Linked DNA regions of Saccharomyces cerevisiae S288C. The gene in region 3 interacts genetically with the main gene of each other region. Each region holds a gene or a part of one and is shown on either strand. Other genes may lie near its edges.

Region 1 (4,282 bases), on a different chromosome or scaffold from region 3:
GATTCTGATGGTGATGAAACCATGCAGATATAGTGTTGAATGATAATTCACCTTTTTTTTCTTTCTTTTTTTTTTTACCTGGGACGACATTCTAACTAATGAAATTTACGATTAATTATTCTTTTTTTTTTTTTTCAAGAAATAAATATAACTGTAACATATATATATTAATTATGGGGGATCACAAAGAAAAATAGTAACTTTAAGAATCAAATAATAATGTGTTGCGCTTCTTAGTACTCATCCGGCATTTACGGTTTCCATGGTATGGTTTATTTTTCGTGCATAGTATTACCCGTCGTGTTCTTTTCGGACATTGGAAAGTTGTCCATCCCAAACACTTAAGATGAGTTAAAAGGCGTTGGCGTTTGCCTTCTCCGTGTGATTGATTTACAGTTCAGCCCAGTGATCATTTAGCTTACCCATCATCGCGTAAAATGTGGCTCACAGAGGCTCAAAGTATGTTTTTAATATTTTAGATGCTCTTTGCTTCTCCGAGAGACGTTAGTTCCTTTTTTACTAACAACTTACTTTTCACTAGAATTTGGTGTGGCCTTCACTTTCGGCGGTTTTCTCTTCTTTTTGTTTGGTATATTTACTTTTTTTGATCGTGCCCTATTGGCCTTGGGCAATATTTTGTTTTTAATTGGAGTATTCTTAATAATCGGTTCACAAAAGACATATATTTTTTTTACCAGGCCAAACAAAAGGCGCGGTTCACTATTTTTCCTAGTTGGTGCCTTCTTAATACTGTTGAAATGGACATTTTTGGGCTTTATAATTGAATCTCTAGGTATTATAGGTCTCTTTGGTGATTTTTTTGGCGTCATCGTACAATTTTTGAGATCAATGCCCATAATTGGTCCCATACTTTCTCACCCAGCAATCGCTCCAATAGTAGATAAATTAGCGGGAGTTAGGGTTCTGCCAGTATAATGGTAAAATTTTGTATGTGAATATCATAGATTAATTTTTTCGAACTTTCTATAGGTATAAAGTAAAAATAATAATATTTACATGATTAACGTTGTCCTCACAAATTTATGATATTGACTCGACAAAATCTAACACAGTGGAATCATCACCATATTGACCTACTACCTGTAAGCCAATCGGGGTCTTCTCTTTTAAAGGCATTGATAAACTTGGTAGTCCAGCCAATGACATTGGGACAGTAAAGACATCGTTTATATACGAGTTAGCCGGAGATTTGGCTTCCTCTTCTTCGAAGTCCCTTATGGATCCAGGAAGCTTGGACGATGTGGGAACTATCAGTAGATCTAGGCCGTCTGGATTTCCCTTAGAATTAGTTAAAACATTTGGAAATCTGAAGATCCCGTCAAATTCATCGATCAAATTAACTCGTAGCTTTTCTGCCTTAATAAAATTGTTCTTAAATGCATCTGAACAAAGATTATAATTACCTAGAATGATTCTATTCTTAACTTCTGTTCCGAATTTGGACCTAGTAGGTGCGAATAAAATACCGTCTTTTATATCGAGTTCTGAATCTCTGTATCCATATCTGATACCATCATACCTTGATAAATTGGAAGCCGCTTCAGCGGGTGATAGCGTATAATAAATCGGTAAACAGTTTTTTACAGATGGAATGGATACAGGGTATATTTCAAGCCCTAAATTTATCAGCTTTTCTAGTAAGGATAAATATAATCTGTGGAACCCAATGGGCATACTTTCATGGCTAAATTCCTTTACAATTCCTACCTTTAAAGGTCTCCTAACCTTTTTATTCCCTTCTATCAATTCACGCAATTCCACACTTAAGGAAGTGGGATCTTTCATGTCATATTTATCGAGCGTATGAAATACTTTTCGCAAGACGTTTATCTTTTTGCTAAGTATGCCAACAGTGTCTAAAGATTGAGAATACGCTATTACGCCAAATCTTGACAACCGTCCATAGGACGGCTTGAATCCTAAAACAGATCCATAGCATGCGGGGAGCCTAACGGAGCCACCAGTATCTGTTCCCAAGGCAAAATCGACTAGATCGCAAGCAACGCTTGCAGCGGCTCCAGACGATGAACCTCCCATGATCTTCTTGTCCTCATGAGGATATAAAGGGTTAATTACGGGCCCTCTTATTGAATGTACTCCCCCAGAACCCATTCCAAATTCATCTAAATTTGTCTTGCCTAAGATATGCACTCCTGCCTGTTTTAATAGTTTCACTACTGTTGCATCGAAGGGAGACTTGAAATTCTCAAGTATATGTGAGGCACATGTGGTTGGAAAATCTTTTGTAACTATATTATCCTTGATACTGGCAACGCAACCTGTCAATGTTTCTTTTGTACCTTTTTTATTTGTGATTGAATAAGGAGATGGATTGATACTAGTGAAAATATTATATTTTGATTGAAAACTAGATAATCTTTCGATTGATTCTTTTAAGGAGCGTTTCAGTGGCATTTTTGTATAATCAAAGTTAGGACTCCAATTGAGGGGCCATCTTTCCAGCACAAATAATAGTGTTTACAAGTATAGATGTACTATTACTTTTTTGGGAGCCAATGCATTTCAAAAAAAAAAAGAAGAGCAGATAAGTCATGAGGCTAAGAAAGATAAAGAAATCTACTGGTTGATGAACGTCATAGATTTAAGTGATCCTGCCATCAATGTGGATTATGATAGCTTGATTGGCATTGACAATGAGGAATCTCAAGAAATTTTTGAAAATGAAGTGAAGGAAGATGGACAACAAGAAGAGCAGGAAGAAGCATCTTCAAGAAAAGATGGGCTCATCGTTGAACCAGGGAGAGATGTTGAGAGTTTGAGAAGGGCTATTCGAGATCAGTTGCTTTTCAAGATACATAGACAAAACCAATCAGACTGTGCAGATGCGAGAAAGTTGAGTAACGATGAAGAAGATGAAAGTCGGCAACAGAAATTAGAAAGAATAAGAGAAGAATTGGAGGAGTTGAAAATAGAAAATTTAACATCTGAAATGCAAACTGAAATCAAGGAATTGTGCGAAATTCAATCAAAATTGGCGACGGAATCATCTAGTAGATTGACAAATTTGAGGAAGAAGCTTCTCGAAACATATGAAGGCCAAGATACCGTCATATTGCCAAACATAATTCTTGATACGAGTAATATCAAAAGATTGCAAAAGTTAGATCAGAAAATATCCCTAATGGAACGTTTTGTTGGCATACCAGAAGCTTTGGAGGCAGAAGAAGATAGGAAATCGGTTCATAGTAAAGTCAATGAACTATATAGAAGTATTCAACTTTTACAAGGCGATGATAAGGCGGAAGGAAAGCTGCAAAAGTTCCGGGATAGACTCGTAGAACTGAACGAGGAATTTGAAAACTCATTGTTAGGCAAGAAAATACAACAGGACTTGAGGTTGAAAGATGACACCGTGAGCAAGCTTGTTATGCCCGAAAACAAAGTAAAGGAGATAAATAGTATGTATTCCATGTTCAAGCAATATCAAGATTCACTACCACTGTTGGCGGAGAGGATGAAAAGTCTCAATAAAATGAACAACAGGGTGATCGAGGTGTACGAAACCACGAAAGGGCTGGATTCACAAATAACCAGCATCCAAGAACAAGGAAAAGTTTGGCTAAAGGCTTTAAATGAGCTGGATAAAAAATTCGATGAACAAGAGGTTAAAATTCGCGAAAATATGGAGCAGATCAGGCGTAAAATTGATACCCTCGAAGACGAAGCTCTACAGAGAAATAGCAAATAAAAGGCGGAGAAATAATTTTATAAACCAATTTAATTTCATTCTTCATTTTTTCGTCTCCATATGACAAAAAAATTGAAAATATGTGTGTGTATGTATATATAATAATAGTAATAATAACAATATGAAATATGAAATATCCAAAATAAGAGCGGAAAACAGAAATTATCATAAAAAAGAAAAAAATAAAGTCTCTAAAGGGTATCAAGCGCTTATTTCTTCTTCATTCTACCAAACAATCCCTTCTTCTTCTTCTTTTGCTTTTCCTCAGTCTGTACGTGTTGTTGTGGCTGATACACTGCTTGTTCACCATACATTTGACTGGAAGCACCACCCACTTGCTGTGGCATACCGTTCGCATCGTAAGTCACAGCAGCACCAAACACAGGGAAATCAGGTCTTACGCGGAACCCGTAAGTTGGAGTCTCCAACTGTTGGGCCCAGACCGGGTCTCCGGAGACAGCATACTCGAAACTTCTTATAGTGTCCAAAGGTCTTTCGTCTCTTGCCCTAGTTGGATTCGATATATCTGCCTGTGTGATGGGTTGACCGAAA
Region 2 (3,766 bases), on a different chromosome or scaffold from region 3:
ATGACATCGGAAAGGGAGTTGAAGTGCTATCTTTGACACCGAGTTTTATGGATATTCCCGAAAAAGAAAGAGAAACGGAAAGATCGCCATCATCCAATTACATTACTGACAGACCTTTCACTCGAAAACCTAGATCTTCTAGCATTGACGTAAACCATAGGTATCCACCTATGGCACCAACAACCGTAGCGACATCTCCCGGTGCATTGAACAATGCCGTAGCAAGCAATCTCGACGATCAACTGAGTTTAACATCACTAAACTCTCAGCCATCATCGATAGCAAATATGATGATGGACCCTTCAAACCTAGCTGAGCAAAGTTCTATTCATTCAGTTCCTCAGTCAATAAACTCTCCGAGAATGCCTAAAACTGGAAGTCGCCAAGACAAGAACATTCACACTAAGAAGGAAGAAAGAAATCCGCTAAATAACATACACGATCTGTCACAATTGGAAAATGTACCAGACGAGATGAACCAAATGTTCTCCCCACCATTAAAAAGTATGAATAGACCGGATGCCATAAGGGAAAATTCATCTAGTAGTAATTTCATAATCCAAGGAAATAGCATGATCTCTACGCCTTCCGGAAGGAATGACCTTCCAGATACCTCTCCAATGAGTAGTATTCAAACAGCGTCACCACCAAGTCAATTACTGACCGATCAAGGATTTGCGGATTTGGATAATTTCATGTCTTCGTTATGATAAATTTGCTTTTCGTCTCTTGCTTCTCTGTAACTGTAGTTTTCCTCCTCCCACATATATATATATATATACACTTTTATACACCTAATAATATCATCGGCATTATGATTGCTTATACATTTTCATAATCAATATTACTGTTCACCATTTGAATCACTGCAGAAATATGCACTGCGCCTTCTTTTTCTTTGCCTGAAGCACCCACACACAAGAACAGGAATGTGAATGGCCTCCCCATCTCACTTTTACTTAATAGTATTCTGACAATATAAGGTATCAGAGAGTAAGACCATTATTAGGCAAACAATAATCTTCAGAATTTTTAGTAGCGCATTCTCAACCTTTCTAGGTGCGTTTTTCTAATGAAATAGTATCGTTTTCCTTCCGCATTCCTTGCGTAGTTTGTTGTGTAAATATAGCAATAAGAAACCCTATAAATCATTATGATGTAACTCCCGATTCTTTTAAATAATTACATAAACTAGGAAGGCAAGTCCGAACACGCAGAGATGAGGTATTTGCACTCAATGACAAATCTAGGTTTAAACTACGGGGCTCCATACCTTATCTCTTCACTTATCAAAAGTAGGCAAAAGAAAAGAAAATAAATATAATTTCTTTTTCTGCAGGCAAGATTTTAAAAGAACTTGCGCGTCCTCTGTGCAATCTACCTGGGGAGTCTCGGGCTTTAACCGCTCCCCATTCTAAACTGCTTCCATTGACGTGTACTATACTGCTCACTTCTTGCTCTTCGAGCAACAAAATCTGTATTACGTTTCTTACACTAGTCGAGTGAAAGAGATAAGATACCCACTTTTACTTGCCGGGAGAATGGAAAAGAGAAAACGGAAGAAAGGGCTTAAATACATTTTCCTTTAATATGAACATCCTACTGTAAGATAAAAATTGGATGCTGATAATGGAAAGGAGACATGTACGGTATGTACGGCAAAACCTCGGCGGGTTTTCGCCGCTAGCTCATATATTCTTTCGTTAAATTTTAAAATTTCTTATTCTAAATCTTCTTTACATGTTTGGAAAGAATTTATTGGAGAGAAAAATCTAGACCTGCCAAGCCGATAAACGAATGCCTGCGAAGAAATAGTGTAAATATTACTCCTGAAGGTAGAGTCATCTAGGCGGAGACGAAAACAAAGTTTAGCTTTTCGTGAAATTGCCCATTTCATGTTTATCAACCACCAAAGGTTAAATGGAGGTTTGACAAAAGAAATTTTCTTGCTAAAGGTTAGCATTTTTTTTGGAATTTTTTTTCCTTCGACTGGCTGTAGTTGTCCTTCTATATTACGTACAACAAAAACTTTCTTGAATGAAGAATTAGTTCTATCATATAGACCATAAGAAAGAAAACGCACTTGGATAATTTTTAACAAAGAAGAGGGCAAACTGACGCTCACCAAGCTATTGGTTTGTTTGGATCAATCGTCAGATATGAAGCCGAACAATCGAACTTGTGATGTAATTACCAACAAAGATGAATCTCTTCCTGCACTTTTGCTGCCTGCACTGAACAGTTACACCTGTGACGATTCATTGCTAAAAGGACAAATTTCAAGCAATGGCAGATATCAACCATTCGGGTTTTCTGATTGCTCTTTACTGCCAAAGCGTTTAAACATTCAGGCAGGGCAAGGATCTATGCCAGTTTCTTCGATTCAATGTGCAGACCACAGTTATAGTAATTGGCAAAAAGAATCCGAAAAGACTAAGCTTCCCAAGCTTGGTTGCCCAACAGAGTACACTGAATACTATAAAACTGTTTCTTCCGGCGAAACAACCGATTCAGCGGTTGTTTCATCTATAGCAACGAACAGACTCAAAAGAAAACGTCAGAGGGACGGCCCAAGTTGTGACTCTTGTAGGATAAAGAAAATAAAATGCAATGCAACAATCATTATCTTTTTACAGGATAGGAACCTAATTTCATCAATTTCTTCAAATTTGCATTATACACTTTCCCAAGACGACATAAACCAGTTTCGAATGAAGTTTTTCAGGAAACTGCCTGACGTGATGGGCACATATGAAGTCATAAAACACCTTGATAAAATAGTCCTTTTCAAAGCCTGCACCTCTTGCAGTAGAAGAAACCAAAAAAATGGAAAGTGTCTTTTTTCGAGAGGATTTACAAAATCTGATATGAACGTATTTCCCAAGATAAATAGTAAACTTAAAGACAAAAGTATCTTCGAGATGACTGTCGATGATTATGTTGCCGCTGGCTTCCAAACCCTTTAGGTTTCATGCATGTAATTTCCTCCTATGTAAAATATAGGAATATTAATAAAACGCACCAATAATAAGTTAGATATTTTTCTGCAAGATATAAATTTGTTTACTCATACATATATATTCTATTGCGGGGCGCTCTTGTATAAGTAATTCAATAAAAAACCTCTATATGATACAATTGACCAAGCCTTCATTTACCATTCTATATCAATTTGGAAAGAAGGGTATTTCTCTATTTGGGCTCTACATTATAACGCAATCTTATACCCATTGCGGATAGCTCAGAGTCCAAGTACTTCAACACAAATGGTATGGCCACCGTAGTTGTTTCATTACCACCAACAAATTTGTTACCTTGTCCATCTTCCCAAATTTGAGAGTCGTCAATAAAAATTTTCTCTCCATCTTCTGATTTAGTCAATAGCTTCTTTGCATCTTCGAATCTCATGGAACAACGACGGCAACAAACGGTGGAAATCGAACCAATTCTTGGCACACTCTGTTGCGTGGTCAAAATAGAACCACACTCGCGACATACGGATGCCTGTGTGTAGTCTGATGAATTTAGCAGACGATCTTGTAATAGAAAAGATGTACCATGCCCAATCAAAGCATCTCTTTCCATTTCACCGACACGAATACCACCATGTCTCTTTCTACCTTTGACAGGCTGCATAGTCAAACTATTCACAGGACCAGTGGAACGAACTTGGAACTTGTCATTGACCATATGACGTAATCTTTGGTAGTAGACAACACCAACATAAATATCTGCCCTTAATTCTTCACCAGTAGCACCTGAGTAC
Region 3 (5,110 bases):
GCAGTGGCGGTTCCGAGATGGATACTTTAAATGCTACCAGCAACAGTAGTAAACAAGGAGTTTCAAATAATAAAAGGAATCCGGTCAGTAAAAAGAAACCAGGGAATAAGGTCTCTGATGGAAGAGATAATGCACATAATTATCACGGGGAAGGCCGCAGAAAAAGTAGCAAACAACAGAGGTCAAGAACGCCCTATAAGGAGACTAGTACTAGGATCAATGATCAAGATATAGATTTATCTATCCAGGAAGAAATTCTTGGTGGTAATTTCAAATTACGAGGCAGGAAAACTCAAGTTTCCATTAATCATTTGTTGAATTTCCAGTTACCTGAAGTCGAAAGGGAAAAAAGTAGGTCCTCTTCAAGTAAGAAATCGAATAGGAGACGCGATGAGCACGTACATTTACACGGTGACACATTTGTTAATGTTAATTACCGTCTTTTGGTAGATGATCGTTTTGACTACCCAGAGCAAAACTGTAACCCGAACGTTCCTGTCGATCAAGAAAAGATTCTAAGAGTCATAGTGCCAAAGGGTCAGAATTGTTCTATTTGTCTGAGCGAGGAACCGGTGGCTCCCAGAATGGTTACTTGTGGCCATATTTTCTGTCTAAGTTGTCTCTTGAACTTTTTCTCCATTGAAGAAACCGTCAAAAATAAAGAGACTGGGTACTCAAAGAAGAAGAAATATAAAGAATGCCCGCTTTGTGGAAGTATTATTGGCCCTAAAAGGGTCAAGCCTGTTCTGTATGAGGACGACTTTGATGTAACCAGGTTAAATCAAAAACCCGAACCTGGTGCCACAGTACATCTACAACTGATGTGTAAACCACACGGTTCACTATTACCTTTGCCAGTAGCCTTACATTTAGACCCTCTAAAATGTGGAAATTTCCCTCCCGCAAACTTAGGATCAATAAAGCATTATGCGCATATTATGAAGTGTGGCGTGTCTTACTCCTTGGAGCTCTATCAAAAGGACATTGTTGCTATTCAGGAACAATATGAAATCGACAAGGCCATTTATAATGATAGTGGAAAATTTGTTAAGCAGTCGATTGAAAATATCAATGATCAAATTTCGACGTTGCTGGCTGCAACCACTGATTTGAGCCCACTTTCCAACGATATTAACAACGGTTTGGACAATTTTCATTTTGATGACGATCTCTTGACCAAATACGATGATTCTTCCGCTTATTTTTTCTACCAGACGTTGGTGGCATCGTCCACGAAATACTTCTTATCTCCACTGGATGTAAAAATCTTATTGACTATTTTCCACTATTATTCCAAGTTTCCAGAAAGCATCGAGACGACAGTCGAAAATATACATTATGATACAGTGGTAACGGAGCAATTAATCCGCCGCTACAAGTACATCGGCCACCTTCCAATCGGCACTGAGATTGCCCTTTTAGACTTGGACTGGCGTAAAATACCATTCCTTCCCAAGGAAATTTACGAACAGTTTGCTCATGAGCTAAAACAACGTCGAAGAAAATTCACAATGAAAAAGCAAAAGGAAGATAAGGAAAAGAAACTATATGAAAAAAGGTTGGAACAAGAACATGCCGAGTTCTACAGAAAGGAAAATGGCAATTCTCTCAAGTTTGAAGACTCTGTACAGATGGCTACCCATTATGAATCCATTGTAAGCTCTTCCATACCTCTCAACTCCTTAGGAATTTCTATGCTGGGTCCACCGACAAATTCCTGCTCTACTCCTCAAAAGCAAGCGCCCTCCCACACGAAAAGAACAATTTGGGGGACATCAATTGCAGTGACGGAAGACGAAAAAGCATCAAAGGAGAACAAAGAATTTCAAGATATGTTATTGCAGCGAATAAGGCAGGAAGATAGTTCGGATGTCACAGATTCGACGGATTCTCCTCCTACAAGTAATGGTAAGCGAGGCAGGAAGAAGAAAGGTAAAGTCATGCTATTCAGCAGCAATCATCAAGCCTTGGGTTAGGTTACAGCATGTTCTGCTTAAAAATCTCTTTCCAAGCCAGAAATGTGGGAGGACCTATTCTATATCATTTCAAAATCGAACTCTATATCTTTATGTATAACTTCAAACGCTATTGCATATAAACAATTACTCATATATAGTCCAAATGCATTCATACCATGTTATACTATTCAATTCTAGTGTCGTTGTGCGTGATTTTTCACTTTTGACCGTAAATAGAATTTCGGTGATATTATTTTAACTCTCGAAGAAAATAAAGTAGATTCATGTACACGTATATCAAAAGAGTACAGTGAAAAAGGGATAAAGGATACACTCCACTTAGAAGGGCGCAAGATGAGTGGAAAATTTGTTCGTGCTTCTAAATATAGACACGTCTTTGGCCAAGCGGCCAAAAAGGAACTGCAATATGAAAAACTCAAAGTGACCAACAACGCATGGGACTCCAACTTGCTAAAAACGAATGGTAAATTTATTGCGGTGAATTGGAATGCCTCTGGAGGTGGTGCATTCGCTGTCATTCCGATCGAGGAAGTGGGCAAGGCTCCAGATCAAGTGCCTTTGTTCAGAGGCCACACTGCGCAGGTCTTGGATACCGATTTTGATCCGTTTAATGACCACAGGATTGCTTCCGGTTCCGATGATTCTAAGATTGGTATTTGGGACATACCGGAAAACTACAAATTTCACGATCATGTAGATGAAGATGGAGAGCCAATTGATATCAAACCAGTAAAGTTTTTGACAGGACACGCAAGGAAAGTTGGACATGTTCTTTATCATCCCGTCGCTGAGAATGTATTAGCATCCTCTTCAGGTGACTATACTGTTAAATTATGGAATGTGGAAACTGGAAAGGACATGATTACTTTGAAACATCCAGATATGGTCACATCCATGTCATTTTCGTATGATGGTAATTATCTTGCCACAGTGGCTCGAGATAAGAAACTACGAGTCTGGAATATCAGAGAAGAAAAAATTGTTAGCGAAGGGCCTGCCCATACGGGTGCAAAAAACCAAAGGGTGGTATGGTTAGGAAACTCTGACAGATTGGCTACTACTGGTTTTTCAAAATTGAGTGATCGTCAAATCGGTATTTGGGATGCCTTCAACATTGAAAAGGGAGATTTGGGAGGCTTCTACACTGTCGACCAATCATCAGGTATTTTGATGCCCTTTTATGACGAAGGGAATAAGATTCTTTACTTGGTGGGGAAAGGTGATGGTAATATTCGATACTACGAATTTCAAAACGACGAGCTGTTTGAGTTGTCTGAATTCCAATCCACAGAAGCACAGAGAGGCTTTGCTGTAGCGCCTAAGCGAATGGTGAACGTCAAAGAAAACGAAGTCTTAAAAGGTTTCAAGACTGTCGTTGATCAGCGTATCGAACCGGTATCTTTCTTTGTTCCAAGGAGATCAGAGGAGTTCCAAGAAGATATCTACCCGGATGCACCTTCCAATAAGCCAGCTTTAACTGCTGAAGAGTGGTTTTCTGGCAAGTCTGTTGAAGGTCCAATTCTCGTTAGTATGAGATCTATCTATGACGGTTCCGCACCAAGCTTTCATGAGGCTAAAAGACCTCAACAGCCAACAACTCAAGAAACAGCTCTTGAAGAGAAAAAGGAGCAGCCTAAAGTGGAGAAGCCAATCAGCGAATCCGAAAAGGAGGTGAAACAAGAAGCTCCAAAATCTCCCTCACCGCTAAAGTCGGCCTCCTCATCTTCTACAATCAACCATGTATTAAAGGAAGATAATTCGATCAACAAGTTGTTGAAGAAATCCTCCGATATTGATCAAGTTAACAACGCCGAAGATCCGTCTAGGGATACCTCCGGATGGGAAGAAGCCGATGATGAGCCAGCTCCTATCAAAATCGAAACCCCAGTCACTCCAACAGAAACTAAAAAGGATCGCACACCTAAGGTCGAACCTTCAAAAGAATTGAAGCCAGAGCCAGTGTCTATCGCAACAGATAGAAAACAGGAGCAAAGCTTACCTCAAGAAGAGAAGTCCTCTGAGAAAACAAAGTCCCCTGAGCAGGAAAAATCCGCAACACCTCCTTCTTCAATTACGGCTGCTAAGACAGCCATTACTGCCAGCAGTAAGGAAGAGCCATCCGCGGCAAGGACATCACCTAAGTCATTGGGTTTAAAAAAGTCTGTCGAAAAACTATCTACATTGGTTCTGCAATTAGAAGATGTAGTTGATAAATTAACGAAAGCAAATCTTGACAAAGATGAGCGCCTGTTAAAGTTGGAACAAAAAATTGGCGAACTGTCAAAATGAAAATTTTTTGTACTTTTAATGATAAAATTAAGTGAGTCCTTTTTATAGGAAAGATGTATTTTGATTATATGTAATGTACATAAGACGGCGGCGATAATAATGCACTTAGAAAGTGAATCATGTTCACCTGTCCACTAACAAAAAAGGAAACAAAATGTTGCTTTCCCACAGGAAAAAGAATGTTTTTGACAAAACACTAAGCGTTATGTGACCAATGTATAATTGTCCTCATCATATAGTTTTATGCAAGCATAAATAAGTCTTTCTTTTAGTTAAAACGCGTTACATAGTAAAGGTAACCCTGAATGAATTTTTATTTATATTTTTCTTCGCATATTTTAGGATCTTGAAAAATTAACCACAAGTTAGAAGTTGATGAGATCAGGAATTCTAACAAAAGGTCATTGGTTAGGTTTATTTTGTAGGTGCACGTTTGCAACTTTATTCCTTTTGTTTCAAAGTTATAGAGCTTTCATTTTCTCATTCTTCTCTAGTGTAGGTCATTTCTCCTGCATATTAACCTACTAGAAAAGTTTACGAAGCTTCATAGGAACGAATAATCGATCACTTTAAAGGCTTCCCGCACTTTAATCTTATCATCTACACCTACAAAAAAGCTCTACTTTGTCATTTATTTTCTACTTCATCTCTGTATGGCATCTATCTCTATATATATAAAAAAGCGCATCTGTTTATTATAAATGAATTCCAACAATCCTGATAATAATAATAGCAACAACATTAATAATAATAATAAGGATAAGGATATTGCCCCCAATAGCGATGTTCAGCTAGCTACCGTCTATACCAAGGCAAAGTCTTACATTCCTCAGATTGAACAA
Region 4 (3,734 bases), 950 kb from region 3:
TCTATTTCTAGATCACCGATCTATCAACATTTTTCCGAGACTCTTGTCGGTGTTACCACCATTCGTGCGTTTGGTGATGAAGGGAGGTTTATGCAAGAGAATTTACACAAAATTGATGAAAATAATAAACCATTCTTCTACTTGTGGGTTGCTAATCGTTGGTTGGCCTTTAGGATAGATATGATTGGATCCTTGGTCATTTTTGGAGCTGGTTTGTTCATTCTATTCAATATTAATAATCTGGATTCGGGTATGGCTGGTATATCTTTGACGTATGCTATTTCCTTCACTGAAGGGGCATTGTGGTTGGTAAGATTGTACTCTGAAGTGGAGATGAATATGAATTCTGTTGAAAGAGTCAAAGAATATATGGAAATTGAGCAAGAGCCATACAACGAACACAAAGAAATACCGCCACCACAATGGCCACAAGACGGTAAAATCGAGGTTAATGATTTATCATTACGGTATGCTCCAAATCTACCTAGAGTAATTAAAAATGTTTCATTTTCTGTCGACGCTCAGTCTAAGATCGGTATTGTTGGTAGAACCGGTGCCGGTAAATCAACTATTATTACCGCCTTGTTCAGATTTTTGGAACCTGAGACAGGCCATATCAAAATTGATAATATCGATATTTCCGGTGTTGATTTACAAAGACTGCGTCGTTCTATAACTATTATTCCACAAGATCCAACACTATTCTCAGGGACGATTAAAACAAACCTAGACCCATATGATGAATTTAGTGACAGACAGATCTTTGAAGCTTTGAAACGTGTAAATCTAATTAGTGAAGAACAATTACAACAAGGCGCCACAAGAGAAACAAGCAATGAGGCTTCGTCGACTAACTCCGAAAATGTTAATAAATTCTTGGATTTAAGTAGTGAAATTAGCGAAGGTGGATCCAATTTGTCTCAAGGACAGCGCCAATTGATGTGCCTTGCTAGATCTTTACTGAGGAGTCCAAAGATCATATTGCTGGACGAAGCTACAGCGTCCATCGACTACAGTTCCGATGCGAAGATCCAAGAAACCATAAGAAAAGAGTTCCAAGGTAGTACAATTTTGACAATTGCACATAGGTTGAGATCTGTTATCGATTATGATAAAATTTTGGTGATGGATGCAGGTGAGGTAAAAGAGTATGATCACCCATATTCTTTGTTACTTAACAAACAAAGTGCCTTTTATAGCATGTGTGAGCATAGTGGAGAATTGGATATCCTAATTGAATTGGCTAAAAAAGCCTTTGTGGAAAAATTGAACTCTAAAAAGGACTAGCTGTTTCGATGCTAAAGTATATATATATATATATATATATATATATATATATATATGTATATACGCACACATGTTCACGTACTATAAATTACCTTTTGTAAATTCAACAGCCTCTTTTTCTGGAACTGGAAGAATCCGTTAACTTCAATATTCCAGTCGATGAAACGGTTTAGAATTGCAATTGACCTCAAAATCATTATGTTGCAGTTATCCACCAACTCGGGTAACTTCTTCAACTGTTTCGTTTCAATATTTGCGTCTTTGAAGGAAATCTGATCCAATGAACTTTTACTGATTTGGCAAAACTCCATATATTGGCTGTTTAGTTCGTCAAATGCACTATATAATGTATAAATATCGTCAAAGCAACTAGCAAAAATACAAATATCATCAGGAGCTCCCACGTTCTCGATGTCTTCAGCCATGAAAGTATTAAAGAGTTGCAGGAGATCTTGAGAATACTTTAGACCCTGGAAATATAGACGATGTAACTGATTGTATAGTTCATCTAATTGCACTGAAACATCGGAATTCGCGCTGTATCCGGCGCCTATAAGCCGCTCCAATCGGTCACACCTGTATTCTAAAGCTTCAACAAGCTTAAGACCAGGCATCAAACTTCCTTTGGTAGAGGCTAATGGCCTTGGAAGCTCGAGAGAACATTCTATAAGTTCATCAATCACTTATACTATATGCAGTACCTCTAAATTACCTAATATCCGGGTAATAAGAACAATATTCGGGTGACGCCGCCCCTGTTTGATGACAAAATTGGAAGAAAAAGAGGAAACAAGAAAAGACTGGTTAGCAACTACGTAAACTTCAGATTTCAAAACATACATAAACAAAAAACTAACAAAAGAAGATGTCTAGATCTGGGTATGCTAAATTTCATTTGTACTCCTGTGTAAACTATCAATTACTAACTAATTGACATGATGCTGTTTTATCTCGCTCTCTTATGTCCTTTCTTTCCTCCCTTTTTAACATGGAACTTTAAAAGGAATGTGGGGGAAAAAATTCATAAGAAGCCAGGAAAATGTGAAGTTTCTGTGTAGTGTTGCTGTTGCTGATGAATCCCTTACCGCTTTCAATGACTTGAAATTGGGTAAAAAATACAAATTTATTTTATTCGGATTGAACGATGCTAAAACCGAAATCGTTGTCAAGGAAACCTCTACTGACCCATCTTACGATGCCTTCTTAGAGAAATTGCCAGAAAACGACTGTCTTTACGCCATTTACGATTTTGAATACGAAATTAATGGTAATGAAGGTAAGAGATCCAAGATTGTTTTCTTCACTTGGTCTCCAGACACTGCTCCAGTCAGATCTAAGATGGTCTATGCATCCTCCAAGGATGCCTTAAGAAGAGCCTTAAACGGTGTCTCTACCGATGTTCAAGGTACTGATTTTTCCGAAGTTTCTTACGATTCTGTTTTGGAAAGAGTCAGCAGAGGCGCTGGTTCTCATTAAGGTAAATGATTTCACAAATGACAACAATCTTCAAGAAAAATGAAAATGTATATCTATATATAAAATCGTCATATATATACAGAATACATGTATAGAATTATTATAATTATAATTTTCTCTTCGCAACTCTATCTAAAACACAATACTTAGATTTAAGGTCCCGTACACCCCGGCTAGTGGGCATTGTTTTTGCACCCATATTTGTAATTCTAAATTCAGAACGGAAATACTGGCCATGTAGATCAAGAAAAGATACAAGGTCATCGAACCAGGCAGCAATGATTTTTCTATAATCTTCTAAAGTGAAGCATGACGACCATAGCTCGTTGAATATGCATAGAACGCTTCTGTTTTTAACGTGGCTGATATCTTTAACAAAGGCTTTTAATATAAAATTACCACACACTGAAAAAAAAGACCATTTGGAATCCAACGCTGTGCTGGCATGCGCATCCTATATAAATACTCTGAAGTGGTCATTTGATAGCTCCGTCGTACCGGGTTTCTATTCTACCATATGCTCTTATTCACCAGCGTTTGATACTTGGTCACTTTGTATCTTCAATTCGCTTACAGACCAGATTATTCCCATGGACAACACAAGTTTCGAAGAAAGCTTGGGTAACGTACGAAAAACGTGCTCGTTTGTCGATAAAAAGTTTAGCAATATTTCACTGGAGCAATACTACTCATCTTTAAATAATGCTTCTTCTCACGCTTTGGAAGACTATGGTTCTATTGAAAGTTTATCGACATCCATTCGAGTCGATCGTGAGACAAGATCTAGATGGATACGAGCTTTTCATGCGCATGCCTATAATTTAGATATCAGCAGTGTTTATGGTGCATATTTAACTTACTACTTCGTCATAGTGGGTATTATCGCCGTCTTCTTCCATATGAGTCACTATAACGGCCTGAATCGAGCGCTATTTGCAAGCCGGTTCGTCAATTATATTCGGGGCCATTTT

What was found.
Region 1: mutations in CRN1 (region 3) and JNM1 together harm fitness more than expected from each alone (negative genetic interaction), as found in Saccharomyces cerevisiae (2 studies listed by BioGRID).
Region 2: mutations in CRN1 (region 3) and SUT2 together harm fitness more than expected from each alone (negative genetic interaction), as found in Saccharomyces cerevisiae (2 studies listed by BioGRID).
Region 4: mutations in CRN1 (region 3) and COF1 are lethal when combined (synthetic lethality), as found in Saccharomyces cerevisiae (4 studies listed by BioGRID, with this or other methods).

The regions. Positions count from the first base shown.
Region 1 is NC_001145.3:854,358-858,639, forward strand, and holds JNM1 (Jnm1p), read left to right. Parts: upstream 1-2,608; coding exon 2,609-3,730; downstream 3,731-4,282. Other genes in the region: protein kinase TDA1, read left to right, coding at 1-33; GOT1 (Got1p), read left to right, coding at 438-459, 542-936; glutamyl-tRNA(Gln) amidotransferase subunit HER2, read right to left, coding at 1,042-2,436; GSR1 (Gsr1p), read right to left, coding at 3,940-4,282. UniProt on the Saccharomyces cerevisiae protein: Component of the dynactin complex which assists cytoplasmic dynein by increasing its processivity and by regulation of its cargo binding.
Region 2 is NC_001148.4:574,393-578,158, forward strand, and holds SUT2 (Sut2p), read left to right. Parts: upstream 1-2,159; coding exon 2,160-2,966; downstream 2,967-3,766. Other genes in the region: HAA1 (Haa1p), read left to right, coding at 1-710; DNA-directed RNA polymerase I core subunit RPA135, read right to left, coding at 3,193-3,766. UniProt on the Saccharomyces cerevisiae protein: Putative transcription factor involved in the regulation of the activity of the cAMP/protein kinase A pathway. Involved in sterol uptake.
Region 3 is NC_001144.5:988,465-993,574, forward strand, and holds CRN1 (coronin), read left to right. Parts: upstream 1-2,312; coding exon 2,313-4,268; downstream 4,269-5,110. Other genes in the region: RING-type E3 ubiquitin transferase MAG2, read left to right, coding at 1-1,976; DNA/RNA helicase SEN1, read left to right, coding at 4,970-5,110.
Region 4 is NC_001144.5:38,833-42,566, reverse strand, and holds COF1 (cofilin), read left to right. Parts: upstream 1-2,152; coding exon 2,153-2,166; intron 2,167-2,345; coding exon 2,346-2,763; downstream 2,764-3,734. Other genes in the region: bile acid-transporting ATPase YBT1, read left to right, coding at 1-1,287; LDB18 (Ldb18p), read right to left, coding at 1,362-1,901; FRE6 (putative ferric-chelate reductase), read left to right, coding at 3,096-3,734. UniProt on the Saccharomyces cerevisiae protein: Controls reversibly actin polymerization and depolymerization in a pH-sensitive manner. It has the ability to bind G- and F-actin in a 1:1 ratio of cofilin to actin. Binding to F-actin is regulated by tropomyosin.